3 linked regions of the Mus musculus genome follow. The protein of the gene in region 1 purifies or fractionates together with the protein of each later gene. This does not show direct contact. Links are inferred from orthologs where the notes say so. Each region holds a gene or a part of one and is shown in the gene's direction. Other genes may lie near its edges.

The links.
Region 2: the proteins of Stat3 (region 1) and Pias3 purify together in Homo sapiens (affinity purification with western blotting; 5 studies listed by BioGRID). This does not show direct contact. The link is inferred for Mus musculus from reciprocal best matches to the Homo sapiens genes STAT3 and PIAS3.
Region 3: the proteins of Stat3 (region 1) and Cebpb purify together in Homo sapiens (affinity purification with western blotting; 3 studies listed by BioGRID, with this or other methods). This does not show direct contact. The link is inferred for Mus musculus from reciprocal best matches to the Homo sapiens genes STAT3 and CEBPB.

The regions. Positions count from the first base shown.
Region 1 is NC_000077.6:100,935,319-100,941,648, reverse strand, and holds the start of Stat3 (signal transducer and activator of transcription 3), read left to right. Parts: upstream 1-2,108; 5' UTR 2,109-2,393; exon of another isoform or gene 2,394-2,576; intron 2,577-3,162; exon of another isoform or gene 3,163-3,311; intron 3,312-6,330. UniProt on the Homo sapiens protein: Signal transducer and transcription activator that mediates cellular responses to interleukins, KITLG/SCF, LEP and other growth factors. Once activated, recruits coactivators, such as NCOA1 or MED1, to the promoter region of the target gene.
Region 2 is NC_000069.6:96,694,716-96,701,045, forward strand, and holds the start of Pias3 (E3 SUMO-protein ligase PIAS3), read left to right. Parts: upstream 1-2,360; 5' UTR 2,361-2,456; coding exon 2,457-2,480; intron 2,481-2,621; exon of another isoform or gene 2,622-3,402; intron 3,403-4,704; coding exon 4,705-5,122; intron 5,123-5,277; coding exon 5,278-5,362; intron 5,363-5,502; coding exon 5,503-5,553; intron 5,554-5,773; coding exon 5,774-5,864; intron 5,865-6,330. UniProt on the Homo sapiens protein: Functions as an E3-type small ubiquitin-like modifier (SUMO) ligase, stabilizing the interaction between UBE2I and the substrate, and as a SUMO-tethering factor.
Region 3 is NC_000068.7:167,686,456-167,692,468, forward strand, and holds Cebpb (CCAAT/enhancer-binding protein beta), read left to right. Parts: upstream 1-2,459; 5' UTR 2,460-2,566; coding exon 2,567-3,457; 3' UTR 3,458-3,977; downstream 3,978-6,013. UniProt on the Homo sapiens protein: Important transcription factor regulating the expression of genes involved in immune and inflammatory responses. Also plays a significant role in adipogenesis, as well as in the gluconeogenic pathway, liver regeneration, and hematopoiesis.

The DNA.
Region 1 (6,330 bases):
GAAATAGACTGATGGAGGAAGAAGGTGAAGATTTTTATTAAAAAAATTTCAACCTAGCTGGGCAGTGGTGGCACACGTCTTTAATCCCAGCACTTGGGCAGCAAGAGGCAGGTGTGTATCTCTAAGAGTTTGAAGCCAGACTGGTCTTCAAACTGAGTTTCAGGTCAGCCAAAGCTACACAGAGAAACCCTGTCTCGAGAAACAAACAGACATGGCTGGAGAGATGGCTCCGTAGTTAAGAGCACTGCTCTTCCAGAGGTCCTAAGTTCAGTTCCCAGTTACCATATTGTGGCTCACAACCATCTGTAGTGGGCATCTGACGCCCTCTTCTGGTGTGTCTGAAGTATATAGCTACAGTGTACTCATATAAATAAACAAATCTTTAAAAACAGAAAAATCTGCAGCCTTCCACAGGTGTGGGAGGAATGTTTTCAATCTCAGCTCACTCAGGAGATAGAGGCTGGAAAAAAATCTCTGAGATCCTAAGATCCTGTCTCAAGAAAACAGGATACTAGTAAGAAAACAAAAACCTGAAGTTTCCTGAACTGTGTATATTAGCTGTGTTTTAAAATATACCATTGGGGGATTATCTTTGTGGAGAGGTAACAGCCCCTTGTAGATTTTAGATTTTTATCTTTATCTCTCTTTGTGCTAATCACCAGCAATACAAACACCAATAGGTGTACTTGTAAGTCCCTACCATCACATATACATACAAATCACTGCAGTACGCAGAGTTCATTCTCTATGACAGAAAGCCAAGCATATACACGTACCATGAACTGCTGATTCCAACTCAGTAAAATCTGTACTCCCAACATACAAGACGTGAAATAGGTCAGATAATTTCAAGAGCGTCAAGACCCCCCCCAAAAGACTAAATGGATGTTACTCCTAACTCCTGCCACTCTAGTTAAGCAGTAGTGGGAAAGTGTGGAAGAACTGGTTTGTCTCAATTGGACATTTAAGTTTAATGGTGAAAGACTAGTTAATGTTAACAATGAATCCTAAAATCATCAGAATATTTTATGGGCTTTCTCTCTGTGTGTGTTAGCTTCAGTTCTTAAAATTAAGTGCCTAATTAAAAGTGATTTAATTTTGTCTGCACGTTTTTCTGCACAAGGTGTGTGTCTTTGCTGCGGGCAGAGGCCTGAGGAGGGCTTCAGATCCCCCCCCCCCCCCCAGACCCCAGAGTGGAGTTACAAATGGCTAAGAGCCATCTTGTGGGATGCTGGAACTTGAACTTGAATTTTTACCAGGATCAGCCTGGCAGTCCCCTTAACTTAGGCATCCCTCTAGCTCCTAAAATAAGTACCTTTTAATGGAAACAAGTTGGTCAAAACTATCTTTCAGAATTTCAAGACCCAGTATAACAGTTTAAAAAAAAAAGAACTCAGACACACGTGGAAATGGCAAGTACTGTGTATTCGTGTCAGCTGTCATGCATAGGCTCTCTGCATTTCTGTGAGCTGACCAATCAGCCTTGCTGTTGAGATTCAGGTTTGAAATGGTGGAACAGAGAACCGGGTTATAGCCACTATTCTCCCCCACGCAATCTAGTAATTACTCTATTTCCACGTCATATTTCCGGGTGTATGCCCATAATCACGCAGAACTGAAGTTCAGAGCAGCCAGGAGTTGCCCATGTTCTTTTTTGATGTCTCCACAAACCCAAATGCTTAAGTGGGGTGACACCTGGGGACCGCCTAAGTGGCTGATTCCCACGTGGTAAGGAGCTCACAAACTCGCCCCCACGTGGTGCCAAGGGCCGGGAAAAGGGAGAGCGGGCAGAAGCGAGCCGTATCAGGGCATTTAAAGTGTCTTGACGTCACGCACTGCCAGGAACTCAGCTGAGTTTTCAGCAGGACATTCCGCTAATGTCTCCTCCCTCCCCCCGGGCTTTTTTGTAAGCTAGGCCTCTGCGCGTCCCTTGGTCGCGGAGGGAGGAGCACAAAGCTCTCAGAACAGCCAACTCAGGGAGGTGTGCCCAGAGCTCTCGACCCCGCCTTCTCTCCTAGAGGCGTTTTTCATTGGTTAGTGGGCGGGGCTTAGGAAGTACAGCGCTCGCCCGGAGGCCTCAGGGTGGCCTAGCCAGCTGGCCATTCCTTAATTATGCATGGAGGCGTGTCTTGGCCAGTGGCGGCTGGGTGGGGATTGGCTGGAGGGGCTGTAATTCAGCGGTTTCCGGAGCTGCAGTGTAGACAGGGAGGGGGAACCTGGGGTTCCGACGTCGCGGCGGAGGGAACGAGCCCTAACCGGATCGCTGAGGTACAACCCCGCTCGGTGTCGCCTGACCGCGTCGGCTAGGAGAGGCCAGGCGGCCCTCGGGAGCCCAGCAGCTCGCGCCTGGAGTCAGCGCAGGCCGGCCAGTCGGGCCTCAGCCCCGGAGACAGGTGAAGGGGGTGCAGGGTGGGGCCACCTCCCCGACGGCACGGGGGACGGCATGGGGGACCCCACGGTTCGTCAGCTGTGGGGGTGCTTAGAGCTGTGAATGGACACTTACATGGGGCAGGAGGATAGGAGGAGACACACAGGGTCGTCCCGGCGGCACTGACGTCCGGATGACAGGAACCAGCCTGGGAAAGGAAGGGACGCTGTAAGTTTCGAGGGGGAGATGCGGAGAGAGAGTGGGGAGTTCTGGGGGGTGTAGGACCGTGGGGGGGAGGACATTCTAGGCTGAGGGTAACAGAACTGACAGAAGCGGCCCTCCTGTGACTGCTCCCGGAGGCTAGGGACGTTCGGGCCACCAGAGCCACTGCCACTCAGGTGGAGATCATTGGGGTGGAGGCGTTAGAAGGAGCCTCCTTCCTGCCCCTGTGCTGGGCCTGGCCGTTCCTTGCCTAGCCACTTTCTTTGCCTTGCTCCCGTTCCTTCTGTAGTCAGCTGTACCCACTTAGGAGGTGGGAACTGTTGTGTCTCTCCTCCTGCCTCTCCGCCCCTCCCCCTCCCCCTCCCCCCCCCCCCCCAGCCTCTGGGACTGGCTAGATTTTTTTCTTAAGAATCAGATTTCCTATAGAAAATTGACAAACTTGTATCCTTTCTAAATTCTCTCCCATCTCTTTCTGTGTTAAGCTATGATTTCCCCCACCTTGTTAAGAACACTTTTTTTTTTCCCAATTCAAAATAAATCCCTGGCCAAACCAGCTCTAAAGAGCAACAAACCTCTTTCCTCTTTGACATTGTTCTCTCATAAACACCTGGTAAACTCGACGAGACGATAAATAATTGAGCCATTGCATTTACTGGATCGTGGTGTTGCTTAATTGCACAGGCCAGGGTGAGCCAATCAAGAGTGGGAGTTTTCTGTCTCATAGCCAAGCTCTTGTGTAAAAGCAGAAGCTAGGGAAACAAAGACAGGCTGGCCTTGGCTGAGTTCTGTGTGTAAACTTTACCTGTTGGGGGGTGTGTGGCTATAAATTGGTAAGTTGGCAAAATCCAGACTGTTGCTCAAGTCACTTTTTTCATACCTGGTCCACATCCCTCGGTTGTATCAATTGATGTGTGTATGGGTACTGTCAGTGCTTATTCAGTTTCCTTATTCAGAGTGTGTGTAGTTTATACCTGCTGTTTACTACAGTGCTTATTTGTGTATGCATTGTGAATGTTGGGCTGTCAGTGTAGGTGCAGCATGGACGTGAATATATTAAAGCAATAAATCACTTCTATCTTCTTTTTAATGTGGAATTAGACTGTTAGGATTTGAGCCAGCCATTTTTTCTCTTTTTATATTAAATAATGTCTATGTTCCTTGAGGAAACATGTTTGTTTCATTATTGCATGTGCCGGACCAGAACACTAAGCGGGATCTTTTAATTTTTTTTTAGTTTTAGACTTTATTTATCTTTGTTCTATGTGTATGAGTGTTTTGCCTGCATGCACGTCTGTGCCAGTGTGTGCCCAGTGCCCTAGGTGGCCAGAAGAGGACATCAGAGCTTCTGGAACTAGTGACAGATGGTTGTGATCCACCACCTGGGTCCTGGGAATCAAACCTAGGGCTTTTGGGGAGAACCACTGGGAAGAGAATCTGGAATAATAATAATGAAAATGTTGGAGTGTTTGTTCTTAGTGTTAGCACACTCCCCACAAAGAACCATTAGCAGATTCATGAATCTTTTATTTTCATCTGTAGTTCATCGGGACAAATAACCACTTAGAGATAATCCTCAGTTATGAGGCTCTCGATAGGGGCTGAGAGATAGCTAGGTGGCTCACTGAATGCTAACCTCATTTTGTAGATAAGGAAATTGAGGCCAATAGGCCTAGACACTTGCCTTAAGGCATCGTGAGTTACAATGGTTTAACGTCTGCCTTTTACATATTTCTTGGTCCATGCTTAAGTATTCAGTTTCAATTTAGAGTGAGTATGTTCCCTGTTGAGAAGTATCAGAGAAAATCTGAATAATGAAACATTGGCAGCTGAAAGCCAAAGTAACTGTTCTGTGTCTCACCCTCTCTCCTCCCTCTCCCCCCTCTCTCCTTTCCCCTCCCCCTTCCCCCTCTCTCCCTCTCCTGTTAGCATAATTTACTGTCAAACTTCAGCTATTTTTTTAATGGAGATGTTTAGGCAAATTTTAGCTAAAGGGCGGCTGTGACCTCAATGACATTTCAGCCGGAGAGCCTTGTGGTCAGTGGTCGTTTCTGTCTGTAGAAAGTTCCTTTTTCTTTTGTCTTGACATCCAAATGTGAGAAGGGCGCGGAGGTAGTGAGCACCTTCCTTGATGCCCAAGCCCAGAAGCCTTTTAGCTGATGTTTTCTAAGAGATGGTGATGGTGTACAGCTCAGAGAATACTTAACCTCTCTGACATTGTGAAAAGTGCTAGGGAGAGTGACATCTTGTGTGTAGATTTGCAGGCTGTTGGAGCAACTTGATAAATGCTTTATTGTCTAATACAACACGTTGATGTCATTAAGGAGAGCAAGGCATTATTACTTACACCTGTGCCTTCTGTCCCTCCCTGCTCTCTTCTTTCCCTCAGTTTCCCTCCCTTTTACTCTCCTTTTCTCCCTTTCTGGGGACGAAACCTAGGTTGCTAACAAGCACTCTACCACGGAACACATTTTATGTCATTCGGATTTTAAAGTTCTAGCCAAATAAAAAAACCAAAAAACTCATCTAAAGAGTGCTTGAAGGATAGCCCTAAATCTTGAAGGACTCCTGGTGCTGTGGACCGGCCTCAGTGAGATGGTGGAGGATGGCATTGGCTTGCTGTCTTTGATGGTGAAAAGAATGTTTGGCTTGCTCTGGTGCAGATAGTTGGGATTACCAGATTGTATTTGGTGGCAAATTCTTGGAAATAATTTGTTTAAAGGAGTAACATTTGGAAGAATGAATTTCTACTATGGTTCTCATTTTTTTATGTTATGTTTGCTATAACTTTATTCAGCTAACATACACACACACATACACACACACACACACACACACACACACGCATGCACACATGCTAGACGGATGAATGGTGCTGGCGGCACATGCCCTTAATTCCAGCACTTGGAAGGCAGCAGCAGTGGATCTCTAAGAATTAAGGGCCAGCTGGTCTACAAATTGAGTTCCAGGCCAGCTAAGACCCTGGCTTAAGATGAACAGGAACAAAACACTAAGCAGAAGCTGGCCATGGATGTTTCATGTCTGCAGTTTTAGCATGTGGCTAGCCAAGAACTGAGGCCAAAAAAAAAAAAAAAAAAAAAAAAAAGTGAGTTTGAAGCTAGCCTGGGTTACCTAGTGAATTCCAAGTCTGCTTTGAGTAGCTAATAAGACCCTGTCTCAAAAAAGGCTAGGCAGGTCTGCTGGTATATGCTTGCAATTCAAGGATTTGGGAGACACTGGCTGGAGGCCCACTACCAATTTAAGGCCAGGTATTCTGCGTAGCTAGCTGGAGACTACCTAGCAAAGCCCCGGTTCAAGAAAAAGTATTTTCACAGAGACAGGAGGATTGCTGCAAATTTGATCAAGGGAAGCCTGGGGTTCATGGTTTCAGGCCAGCTGGGGCTATGTAGAGAACCCCGTGTTAAAGAACCAAACCAGAACAAAACCACAGCAGCAGAGAGTAGAAGCTGGGCAGGAGCCAAGGAGAATGAGTATTCAAAACCCCACCCAAGTTCTCATGGAACTGTAGGCCTAGTGGGGACCAGAGTGCACACTGTTGCAGTATTCACCTAAGGCAGAGGAGTGAGTGGCTCAAGTCTGAGGCTACGGAGGCAGAGAGACCTGGGATCCGATCCTGGATTCACTGCTTCTTGGTCAGAAGCTAAGCCTCAGTCCTGCCTGTCCCACCACGGCCACCCCCCAGCTCCCCTCCTGTCCCACCACGGCCACCCCCCAGCTCCCCT
Region 2 (6,330 bases), on another chromosome or scaffold:
ATGTATACCAAAGAATTAGAAAAATCTTTATGGTTTATAGTCAGTAAATACCTGACTTATATGCTTATTTTTTAAAAGATTTATTTATTTTATGTATATGAATGCTCTATCTGCATCTAAACCTGCGAGCCAGAGAAGGGAATCAGATCCCAGTACAGATAGTTGTGAGTCACCAGTCACACAATGTGGTTGCTGGGACTTGAACTCAGGACCTCTGAAAGAGCTCGGTGCTCTTAACCACCAAGCCATCTCTCCAGCCCCCATATACTTATCTTGATATGCCCATTTACTGGTCTGGAGTCACAAAAATGTCTGGGGCAAAAACAATATCAAGTGTAAGAAGAAACAAAACAATATGGTTGGCAATGAGCTCAGCTGGCTGTGCCAACATCCCAGTGCACAAAGTCTGAGGTTCTATCCCCAGAACAGACAAGTACCAGGGCCTGATTAGCATGCGGGGAGCTGCAGATGAGATTTAGGGCCAAGTACTTAAGCCTAAATTTAGCTTGAGGGGCCCATCATTTCAAACAGCAAGCAACAACTCCCTTCCCCAATCCCCAGTGTTAGGAGAGGGTGGTTATTTCCCTAGGAACAAAACCAGGAAGTAGTCAAGTATAATTAACAGGCACTAGAAATATTGTTAGCACTTTATGGCCTGCAGCTTAGGTTGGGGCTCATGGAAAGGATTACACTGAAGGCTTAAACTAAATGAGATTATTCCTAGTATTTACTAGAGCTTTTTATTATTTTGCATGTTTGTTGTACAACTTGCCTCTGATGCCAGACTGAGCTTTCGAATGGTTTTAAGCCCTCAGCACCTAGCAATCCCTGATTGCCACTTTAATATTTACCTCCCCCCTTTACAAATATTTACTGGACAAATGACATTATCCCTGAGGCCCCAAACAACTATAAAATGTGGAGTTTTTACGATAACTAGTATAAGGAACAGTGCCTTAAAGTAGCTATCTTTATAGATATAGAAATGAACTACTCAGCCAGGCAGTGGTGGCTCATGCCTTTAATCCCAGCACTCGGGAGGCAGAGATAGGTGGATTTCTGAGTTCGAGACCAGCCTGGTCTACAGAGTGAGTTCCAGGACAGCCAGGGCTACACAGAGAAACCCTGTCTCGAAAAACAAACAAACAAACAAACAAACAAAGAAATGAACTACTCAAATCGTCAGGTTAAGTGACCAACTTGGTTGAAACAGGGCCCTTTGGAGGGTCCAAAGCTTTGGAGGAGGAAGTAGGCACTTTAAAGAGGGGCAGAAGTGTGTCTTCTGTACCTGTATCTCCTTGTGTTCACCAACTGTGGGATCCCTAGTTACTGAAAGCATATTTGGAGGTTGGGAGATAGAGGGTTATCTGTAGGGATTGGGCTGCTTATTTTCCATTTGTAGCCCAGGTTTTCCCCCAGATAGATGGAGATCTCATCCTATAACCTTTCTAAACAACCAGAGTCCCAATGCACATAGTCCCAGTCCAGCCCAGTCCAGGCTCTACACTCCCTCCCGCAAGGGATCAAAGGACTACTCAAACTTTGAATGCCCAGAATCTCTTCTCTCCTCAGCGCTCAGAGGAGTTAATAACTCCCGCCCGGCTCCTGGGCTCCGCCCCTCTCCCCTCTCCGAGGTCCTGGCGGGCTTACCCTGGAGGGGGCGGCCCCAGCAGCAACGCTTGGCCGGGCGGAGCTCAGGCCCGGGCGGTGCTGCGGCTGCAGCGTCCAGCTGCCCGACTGAACTCCAGCCGTGCAGCAGACTGCCGGAGCTGCGCGAGCCCTTTCTGCACCGGGGCTCACCCCCGCAACTCTGCGGGTAAGTCCTGCTTTCCGCACCCAACTTTGTTGCCTGTCAAGCCTTGAGTCGTATGGCGCTAGCAGGACCTAAGCTTGTAATTGCTGTGTTCGGGGGAGGTGAAGAATTCGGAACAGCCGTCTCCAACAGTTCGCAAGTCCCCAACTTCCCCCAAAAAGGACAGGAGAGCATCACTTTCAGAGTTGGCGGGACTCTGGGATTTCGCTAACTAAACTTGCGGCGGAGATCTCCGGGGGACAGGGGCTCCAACTTCGCCGCCCCTCCCCCATCCCTCGGAGCTCCGGCAGTTCCGGATACTTTCCCTCCATCTTTCAAGTATCCTTGGCTGCCTAAAAGCCCATCCCTTCGGGTCCGCCTTCTCGTCGTTACCCGCAGGGCCCCGAGATCCCCGGGCTGCACACTCCCTGCGGGGCCACCGTGTCTCCCGCCGCCGGGAGACTTGCCCCGGCCATCCGGCTGCAGGAGAAGGGGCGAGGCCGGCGGCGGTCCGGAGCCCGGCGGGCGGGGCCGGGAAGGGGAGGTGTAGGGGGCCGGACGGGGCGGAGCAGGCGGCCTTTGCGGCCGGCGCTGGGGCGGAGAGTTTGCGCCGGTCCCTGGGCCTGAGCTCCGGCTCGGGCTGGGGCGCCTGCGATGTCTCAAGATGGCGGAGCTGGGCGAGTTAAAGGTACCGGCCCCCTCCCCCAGCCCCAGCAGGACTCGCTCGGCTGCCCGCTGAGGCGGGGAGGCGACCAGGCTGGGCGCAGCGGGATGGGGTGGGTGCGGGCGACGTGGCAGGGACTGGCTACAGGGATGCGCGGGCAGCGGCCGCGAAAAGGGGCTGCGGTGGCGCCCCGGGGGCGGGGCCGCAGGGCAGATGCAGGGGTGGGGCGGAGGGGGGAATTGTCGCCCCGGAGGGCCGAGGCACAAGGGGCGGGGACGCGGGGCCGTAGCCGCTTTTAGTAGTAGGTAGTTGCAGGGTACAGGCGGGCGAGGGAAAGCTCCTCTAGAGGCGTAGGGGTGAGTCCATCAGGCCAAGAGGTGTGACAGTGAGGGGGAGCCGTAGGGATGGGACCCGAGGACCAGATGTTATCAAGCTCCCGGGGACCTGAAGCTTAGGCTTGGGGCTGCTGTGGGCATCCGAGCCTTGGGCAGTACCGATAGGGGGGCTGAGACGTAAGGGGGCGGGGCTGTACAGGAGCGTACCTTAAGAGATGAGGCAGGAGCATCCTGGAGGCTTAGAGTAAGGAACTGTCCTAATGAGGTCCTGTGGTTGGAGAGGTAGAGAAGTGTGAACCACTGGATAGAAAAAAAGTTATTGAGCCAGTGGAGAAATAAAAACAAGTAGGAGGAGCCAAGGATGGAAAGGTAGAGAGAAGGACAAGGTTTTCATCACATTCCTGAAAAGGAGACCAGGAGGAAAAGAACTTGGGAGAGCTAATGGTCCACCCGTGACTAGGTCTTCTAGACATTCACAGAAGGGAGCCCTAGAAGGAGAGAGATCTTGCCCCACCACAACACAGTCTCCAAGGAACCACACCAGAAGATATCCTACAGAACCTTAGACCTTCATTCCCCCATCTTCTGGCTTCGCCCCATCCTTGTCCCGAGTAAGCCTGAGTTCTAGCCATTGGGCCATCCACGTTTAAGAGCTGACTTCTGTGCTTTGGTTCACAGACCCCATTCTCATTCTCTTGGGGTCTCTGTTGAGAAGTTTGCCTTGGTTCCCACCCTGGTGGCTATCTATGAATATACCATGTATGAGAGAAAGAAGGAAGATGGTAGTTCTGGACTGTTTGGTTTCAGACCCCAGGACAAGGGGGCTGAGGTGCATATTTTACATCTCAAAGCAGCCCTGGCCTCCAGGTTCTCCCAGCATCCCTCAGTCCCTACCTGGCATTCTAAGGCCTCAACCCTAAACTTTCCAGCCCAGGGGCTGGGCTGCCCTTCCCCCAAGGTTCTTCCCTATATAATCCAGACATTTTGTGCGTTCCCCCCCCCTTTCCTCCACCCTATGGCGATTCCCTTAGGACAGCTTCCTAATAAACTTAACTTTTTTTTTGTTTTTGTTTTTTTTTGTTTTTTTGTTTTTTTCGAGACAGGGTTTCTCTGTGTAGCCTTGGCTGTCCTGGAACTCACTTTGTAGACCAGGCTAGCCTGGAACCCAGAAATCCGCCTACCTCTGCCTTCCGAGTGCTGGGATTAAAGGCGTGCGCCACCACGCCCGGCAAATTTACCTTTAATCTAATCTAATTTGGCTTGAATTGGCTCATTTCACTGGCAGAGAAATTAGCGATCACTGACAGATGGAGTAAGTCTGGCCAATTACTGAGACTTGGGGACTTCTCCCCTACACATTTTGGTAGCTATCTTCTAGTAAACAAGACTAAAGGAGTATGGGCATGTAGGCAATGAAAAGGTGTGGATGATGATGATGATGGTGGTGATGATGATGATGATGGAGTGTTGAACTCTGGCTTAAAGCCCTGACTTTAAAAAGTTTCAATTCAGAAGCACGGGGAGAACAGGATGGATCAGGTGATAGGGAGGTGGCCGTGGGATACAATCCTCTTGTCACCTGGCCACTCTCTCATGGGCTGTCTGCCCTGAATCCTCTCCTTCCTTGTGTCCTATCTTTTTCCCAGGAGGCTAGGGCTCTGAGAGTCTGAGCCCTGAGAGACAATAATCAGCTTAAGGGAATCTCTGGATTAGGGGTAGGGATGGGGGCTAGGTGGTGCTTGTGGGTTCAGCTTGTCAGGTCAGAGGTACTCAGAGGTGGTACACTAGCTTTAGAGCACTTTTCAACACTGGGGACCGAGAGGAGCGGCACTGCCGCCCAGTAGCTCAGCTTCCATGTCACCAGCAGGACAGGCCCTTTTGAAGCCGGATCGTTTCTGTGCTCTTCCCCGCAGCACATGGTGATGAGTTTCCGAGTGTCTGAGCTCCAGGTGCTCCTCGGCTTCGCTGGCAGGAACAAGAGTGGGCGGAAACACGAGCTGCTGGCCAAGGCCCTGCACCTCCTCAAGTCTAGCTGCGCCCCCAGCGTCCAGATGAAGATCAAAGAACTTTATCGCAGGCGCTTTCCCCGGAAGACCCTGGGGCCTTCTGATCTCTCCTTGCTTTCTTTGCCCCCTGGCACCTCTCCTGTAGGCTCCCCCGGCCCCCTTGCTCCCATCCCTCCCACCCTTCTGACCCCTGGCACCTTGCTAGGCCCTAAGCGTGAGGTGGACATGCATCCTCCTCTGCCGCAGCCTGTGCACCCCGATGTCACCATGAAGCCACTGCCCTTCTATGAAGTCTATGGGGAGCTCATCCGACCCACCACCCTTGGTATGGCTGACTATGCTCCCTCAGGCTTTCTGGATTCTGGCTCAGGCTGGAGTGTTTCCTCTTAGGTTTTACCCTTGTAGGATCGGCACTACGGGATGGAAGCCGGAAGCTTCTCAGGCGCGGGCTTGGGATTAACTGTGTCTTTGTGTTCGCAGCGTCCACCTCCAGCCAGAGGTTCGAGGAAGCCCACTTCACCTTCGCGCTCACTCCCCAGCAGCTGCAGCAGATTCTCACGTCCAGGTACATCTCTCATCCTCTGCCTTGTCCCTGGGGACTGTCCTCTCTGTCCTGTGTTGTCTCGTTCTTTTGCCTGTCTCCTCTCTGTGCCCTGGACAGCTTCTGCTCACCCTCTGAACTGACATCGCTCTTCTTTGTTGCAGGGAGGTTCTGCCAGGAGCCAAGTGTGATTACACCATACAAGTGCAGCTCAGGTGAATTGCGTCTTATTAAGGGCGGGTGCTGGACAAGGGGGGGGGGCATCCTCCTCCTCCCCAGCCCCAGTCCACTCTGGCCCGAGACTTTTCTGGATGCTGATGGCTACAAATAACTATGACTGATTTTCTTTTTTCCTTTTTTTCTGGAGTTTTCTTTAGTGCTAGATTCACCTCAGAAAACTGCCACTTACCCCACTCATCTGTCCTTTCTCGCCAGATTCTGTCTCTGTGAGACCAGCTGCCCTCAGGAGGACTATTTCCCCCCTAACCTCTTTGTTAAGGTTAATGGGAAACTCTGCCCCCTGCCGGTAGGTAAAGAGTCTTTCCCTTTGGCAGCGGATAAATGTTAAGTAAAAACCTCTTATGAAAAGAACTGCTTAGAGTAGTGCCTGGCACGTAGTAGTTGCTCAGTTTATTGAGGAAATCAGTATAATCTAGAGATTATTAAAATAGGGCTGACGAGTAGGTCGACCGTGCTCCTGTGATAGGCCACCTATCTAAGAGTATATAGATAATACAAACTGTACTTGATATGTTAATAAGAGGGAGGCGGCTCAAAGTTGGGTGCATGGAAAAGAGAGGTGGCTCTGGGATGAATTGAGGACCGGGTGAATAGGATCAAAACACACTGTATGATACTCTCAAAGAATAAAAAAATATGAGTGAAATAAAATAGGACTGAATAATTTTTGTCAGAACCCAGGAGAGGGACACCAGTTTAATACAAAGGTTTAGAAAAGACCTCTAAAAGGTGACAGCAGATGAAGTGGACCC
Region 3 (6,013 bases), on another chromosome or scaffold:
GACAGGAAGCAGGGAAGGAACTGGGTCTGGATAGGGCTGTGCCAGCTGCTCGGGCCTGGTGGGGCCTCAGAGCCCTGAGGGAGGGCTGGCAGCCACAGCGAGGTGACAGGCATGGCCTATTGAGCAAAGAACCTGGGGAGAACAACGATCCTCTGGCCTCCCCGTGGGACAGCTGGGTCAGCCGTGGGTGGGTGAGCCTGGCAGGGAGGCTGCCATGGGGCCAGCTAGCCCAATCTGGAGGCCAGAGCGCCAAGCTCTGTGATGAGGTGGAGTCTGGTCTCCAGGGCCTGAGTCACCCCTTGAGTCCCCGTGTGACCCAAGTCACCTTTCTCTAGACTCAAGTTTACTGTTAGAGCTGATTATAACCCCAAGGCTTGGGAGACTTTCTCCACCGCCATTGCTTCAGTGTGACGACCCTGAGCTGACTCTTAGATCTCCTGAGCCCCGGTCTCCTAACCTGTGATCGCAAACAGTATGGCTCACCTCCCACAAATTATCAGGGGGATCAAACGAGTATAAAATATGGCTCAGAGACAGCAGAGGGCCGGCTAAGGTCACACAGCAGATGCTCGCGGTACTGAATAACCCTCCCCAGGTCTTGCTGTGTCTCCCCAGAACCCTGAAATGTTGGCAGGAAGCTAAGGCACAGAGCCAGTTTGCCCCAAGGCCACACCCAGCCAAAACAACGAGAGTAAAGAGAGAAGTTGGGCCATGGAGATGGCTCAGTGGTTTAAGGTAGTTACTACCAAGCCTGAAGACCTGAGTTCAATACCCAGGACCCATCTGCCAGGAGAGACCTGTGACAGTCAGCGAACCCCAAGTTCTGACCTTCACATGCAAGTTGTGGTGCACAGTAGATAGATAGATAGACAGACAGACAGACAGACAGATAGATAGACAGATCCCTCCCTGGAGGGGCTGACATGGGGGTGGGCAGCAGGGACAGAAGGATGACAGGCCAGGTGAGATGGGCTTTCAGGTCAGGAGTGTTGGGGGCCAGGGACCCAGGACTGGGCTCCTGGAGCAGGGTTGAGGGAACAGATAGTGTGCTCACTCTCTGCCTTCCTGGAGCCCAGTCTGAGGGGAAACTGAGGGAAAGAATACGTGCGTGCATGGCGACCTACAGGCAGGGAAGAATAGTCACCAGTGTTGGAGAAGGGAGGGCCCGTTAGTGAAGCCCCAACGTCCCACTTTACAGCCAGGCCTGGCTGGGTGGCCCTGGGGATGTCACCACGCCTCTCTGGGCCCTGATCCCTTCCTGGCCCAGAGGCTGCTGGGAAGGCCAGAAAGCCGCAGGCAGGCAGGGCTAGCGTCTTACCCTTTCCCTCCCTGCCCCCCACCCCCAAGGGCACAGGGAGATGTCATTTCTCCAGCTCTTGGGGGCGGAGGTCACCCCAGCTCAGCAGATAACACCGAAGGTTGAGCAACACCCCGCCAGCTTGCCGGGGCCAGGGCTGGGGTCAATGGGTCGGGGGTCAGCCCCTGACAGGTTGGCAGCTCCTGCTTGAGTGGCCCACCTAGGAGTGGCAGAAGGGTGGGCCCCAAGAGTTGCCCTGGGCGTCCTCAAAAGGGTCTCACCGGAGAGAGGCTGGTGATCCCAGCCCATTCAAGTGCACGGGGTGGAGGGGTTGCCTCCCCAGCTTGCAGGGTGACCGCTGGGTCCTTATGGCTGGAGTGGGGTCTACCATGCTCCCACCGCAATCACCTGAGAAGCCTCTGGGCAGGGCTGTGCAGGTCTTAGGAAGGCATCGTACTTCTCGGGGGTCCGTTTGTCTCTGATGACACCACTACTAACAATACCAACACTGTCCACGGAGGGAACTCAGAAGCAAAGTGACTCACCCAGACACAGTGTGGCAGAACCCCCAGCCCTGCCACCTTCATGGAGAGGCGCAGGGAGTGGCGTAGGCAGGTGCGGTAGGCGGGCCATACATAGGGTGGAGGGCTGGGATCCAGGACAGCGAGCATCCCCGGGGTGGGCGTGCACCTGGAGAGTTCTGCTTCCCAGGAGTTGGGGGGGGGGTCCCAGAGGTGTGGGCAGCACCTGGGTGGGAGGACATGCACCCCGTGGAAGGCTGCTTCCAGGGAATTGGGGCCCGGGGACAGCGGGCAGGATCCGAGGGTTGGGGTCGTGTAGCTGGAGGAACGATCTGTTTCCCAAGAGTTGGGGGTCCGGGACAGCGGACCGGAGCCGGGACGAGCCACCGCGTCCTCCAGCAGGGGGCGGGCGGCGGCCGCGCTCCTCCGTGTTCCCGAGGGGCGGGAAGGGGGCGGGCTGGCGTCACCCGCGTCCGTGGCCATCGCGGGGCTGGCGGGACGCCCGGGTCACCGCTCAGCCTCCCGCGCGAGGACCCCCGCCGCGCCCCACTCCCCGCCGCGCCCTCTCGCGCTCCCGTGGCCGGGCAATGACGCGCACCGACCGGGTGGCGGGGCGGCGGGAGGGGCCCCAGCGTGACGCAGCCCGTTGCCAGGCGCCGCCTTATAAACCTCCCGCTCGGCCGCCGCCGCGCCGAGTCCGAGCCGCGCACGGGACCGGGACGCAGCGGAGCCCGCGGGCCCCGCGTTCATGCACCGCCTGCTGGCCTGGGACGCAGCATGCCTCCCGCCGCCGCCCGCCGCCTTTAGACCCATGGAAGTGGCCAACTTCTACTACGAGCCCGACTGCCTGGCCTACGGGGCCAAGGCGGCCCGCGCCGCGCCGCGCGCCCCCGCCGCCGAGCCGGCCATTGGCGAGCACGAGCGCGCCATCGACTTCAGCCCCTACCTGGAGCCGCTCGCGCCCGCCGCGGACTTCGCCGCGCCCGCGCCCGCGCACCACGACTTCCTCTCCGACCTCTTCGCCGACGACTACGGCGCCAAGCCGAGCAAGAAGCCGGCCGACTACGGTTACGTGAGCCTCGGCCGCGCGGGCGCCAAGGCCGCGCCGCCCGCCTGCTTCCCGCCGCCGCCTCCCGCCGCGCTCAAGGCGGAGCCGGGCTTCGAACCCGCGGACTGCAAGCGCGCGGACGACGCGCCCGCCATGGCGGCCGGTTTCCCGTTCGCCCTGCGCGCCTACCTGGGCTACCAGGCGACGCCGAGCGGCAGCAGCGGCAGCCTGTCCACGTCGTCGTCGTCCAGCCCGCCCGGCACGCCGAGCCCCGCCGACGCCAAGGCCGCGCCCGCCGCCTGCTTCGCGGGGCCGCCGGCCGCGCCCGCCAAGGCCAAGGCCAAGAAGACGGTGGACAAGCTGAGCGACGAGTACAAGATGCGGCGCGAGCGCAACAACATCGCGGTGCGCAAGAGCCGCGACAAGGCCAAGATGCGCAACCTGGAGACGCAGCACAAGGTGCTGGAGCTGACGGCGGAGAACGAGCGGCTGCAGAAGAAGGTGGAGCAGCTGTCGCGAGAGCTCAGCACCCTGCGGAACTTGTTCAAGCAGCTGCCCGAGCCGCTGCTGGCCTCGGCGGGCCACTGCTAGCGCGGCGCGGGTGGCGTGGGGGGCGCCGCGGCCACCCTGGGCACCGTGCGCCCTGCCCCGCGCGCTCCGGCCCCGCGCGCGCGCCCGGACCACCGTGCGTGCCCTGCGCGCACCTGCACCTGCACCGAGGGGACACCGCGGGCACACCGCGGGCACCGCGCGCACGCACCTGCACAGCGCACCGGGTTTCGGGACTTGATGCAATCCGGATCAAACGTGGCTGAGCGCGTGTGGACACGGGACTGACGCAACACACGTGTAACTGTCAGCCGGGCCCTGAGTAATCACTTAAAGATGTTCCTGCGGGGTTGTTGATGTTTTTGGTTTTGTTTTTGTTTTTTGTTTTGTTTTGTTTTTTTTTTTGGTCTTATTATTTTTTTTGTATTATATAAAAAAGTTCTATTTCTATGAGAAAAGAGGCGTATGTATATTTTGAGAACCTTTTCCGTTTCGAGCATTAAAGTGAAGACATTTTAATAAACTTTTTTGGAGAATGTTTAAAAGCCTTTTGGGGGCAGTAGTTGGCTTTTGAAAAAAAATTTTTTTTCTTCCCTCCCGACTTTGGATTTATGCGAGATTTTGTTTTTGTGTTTCTGGTGTGTAGGGGGCTGCGGGTTATTTTTGGGTTGTGTGTGGCGGTGGGTGGGGGTGTCGCATCTGGGCTTTTCTCTTCCCATGGCAGATGGGGTGTCAGCCCCTCCCCCCAGGAGAGGGGGCAGAGTGCCAGGTCAGGAATTCAGGGTGACTCAGCACCCACGGGTGCTGGGGGACTTGCTAGAAACCCTGCTTGGGACGGGCCGCCCTCGGCTTGGTTTGAGTGTCAGACTTGTGTTGAGAGGACTAGACATTCTGTAGGAAAGGCTAGTCCAGACAGCTGGGTCAGGGCAGGTGAGTTCTGTGTGTTTGGTGGTGTGGGGGAGACCGCACGCCTGTTTGGTGTCTGTGTCCCTGTGTAGCTGGAAGAGAGATTGGGCCGAGAGGAAGGTGAAGGGAACACTTCCTACTCTGCTTTCCCTTTCTCACTATTTTTTCTGCCCAGAGGGGACTAGGAGCCTCTCTTACTGCGCTCAGAGTGGCTGAGCCAGGACTTGAACGCAGGGCCAACACTCAGATTTGCCGGGGCAGCTCTGCTGCAGCCGGGCCGCATTAGTGAGAGTTGAGGGTGTCCAAGGAGTAGTGGATGTGCTGTGTCCCGCCGTGCCTGGCACGCCAGAACTGTTACATAAGCGTTTGTTCTTGTTATTATTTTTGATGGGAGGCTCCTGGCATTTGACTGTGTGAGTGTGGAGGCCAGCGTTCTGCAAGCCCTGGGCCTGCCTGCCTGCATCTCCTTCGTGCCTCGTGGAAGGTAGGCACTACTGTGCCTTTTGCTTTATGGATTTGGATAGCTTGTGGCTCTCAGGTCCCGATGAGCACCCTGCTGTGAGGGATTCTGGGTAACGGGTAACAGAGCAGTTTGCCAAAGGCCTAAGGGAGCCTGGGATTTTTAGGGGTGACCAGCGACTCTGGTTGGTGAATAGGGAATCTGTTTTCTTCCCTTACTCTTTGGGAACTTGGAGTGTTAAGCCTGGTGACCTGTCTCCCACTGTCACAGGGTGAGGCTCTCTCCGCCTGCTCAATGCTAAGGTGGTTCGTAGCCTGTACAGACCCTCAGACACTTGGCTTCCATTCAGCTTCCTTCTAGGCCTAGACAGATGGACAGACACTTGACCCGGTGGGCCCGGGAGCCAAGGTCAGTGAAACCTCATGGTCCAGTGTCTTGGTGGCTTCTGTCTACACCAAGTGACTGTTGGTCAGTTCCACTGCTCCAAGACTTAGAAGCCAAGCCTAGGCTGGACCTGGGAGATGAGGGAGGCTCAATCTTTCCAAGGATTCGAAGCATTAATGTACCTCTGCAGCCAGACTGGCCGGCATCCATTTCTCAGCATAAGTAACTTGGAAGTCACAGAAGTGCCACTCCCACTGGAGGTCCATCTCCAGCAAGTTTGGGGTGGGTTTGTAGTCCCTGTCCCTACTCCGAATCCTCCATCCTTCATAGACAGTTCGTTTCCTGGCTCCAAGATCAGGTAGCCCTCCGCAAGTCAAGTGGCAGTACAGACTGGAAGGGATATGAACCCAGGCCCATCTGATAACTGCAGGATCAGGAAGAGCAGGAGTAGGTCAAAGGTCAAAGGCTTTGACTGTCATGAGTGTGGCCCACTGTAGCAGAGGCCACTGATGGGGTGACACACCCCATGGATCAGATCACCGGGCTGCCAGGGACCAGCTGGACCACAAGCTTGGAGACAGAGCAGAGAGACAGGGAGAGGACAGCAGCCTGAAGGGTAATTGTGGGGTGAGGATGGTCTCCCCAGGACCTTGTCACAGGTGGGCTGCCAGGGCAGGTCAGCCAGATTGCCTGCAGCCCCACTGGGTGGTTGTCACTGCTGAGACTTGCTAGGAGGAGGGGCAAGCAGAGCCCTCCCCACGCCTGCTCCGGACGGGCACCTTCACAAAATGTATTCTCTCGTCTTACTGTCTAACGCAGCCACCCACAACCTGGTGACTTTACCCAGG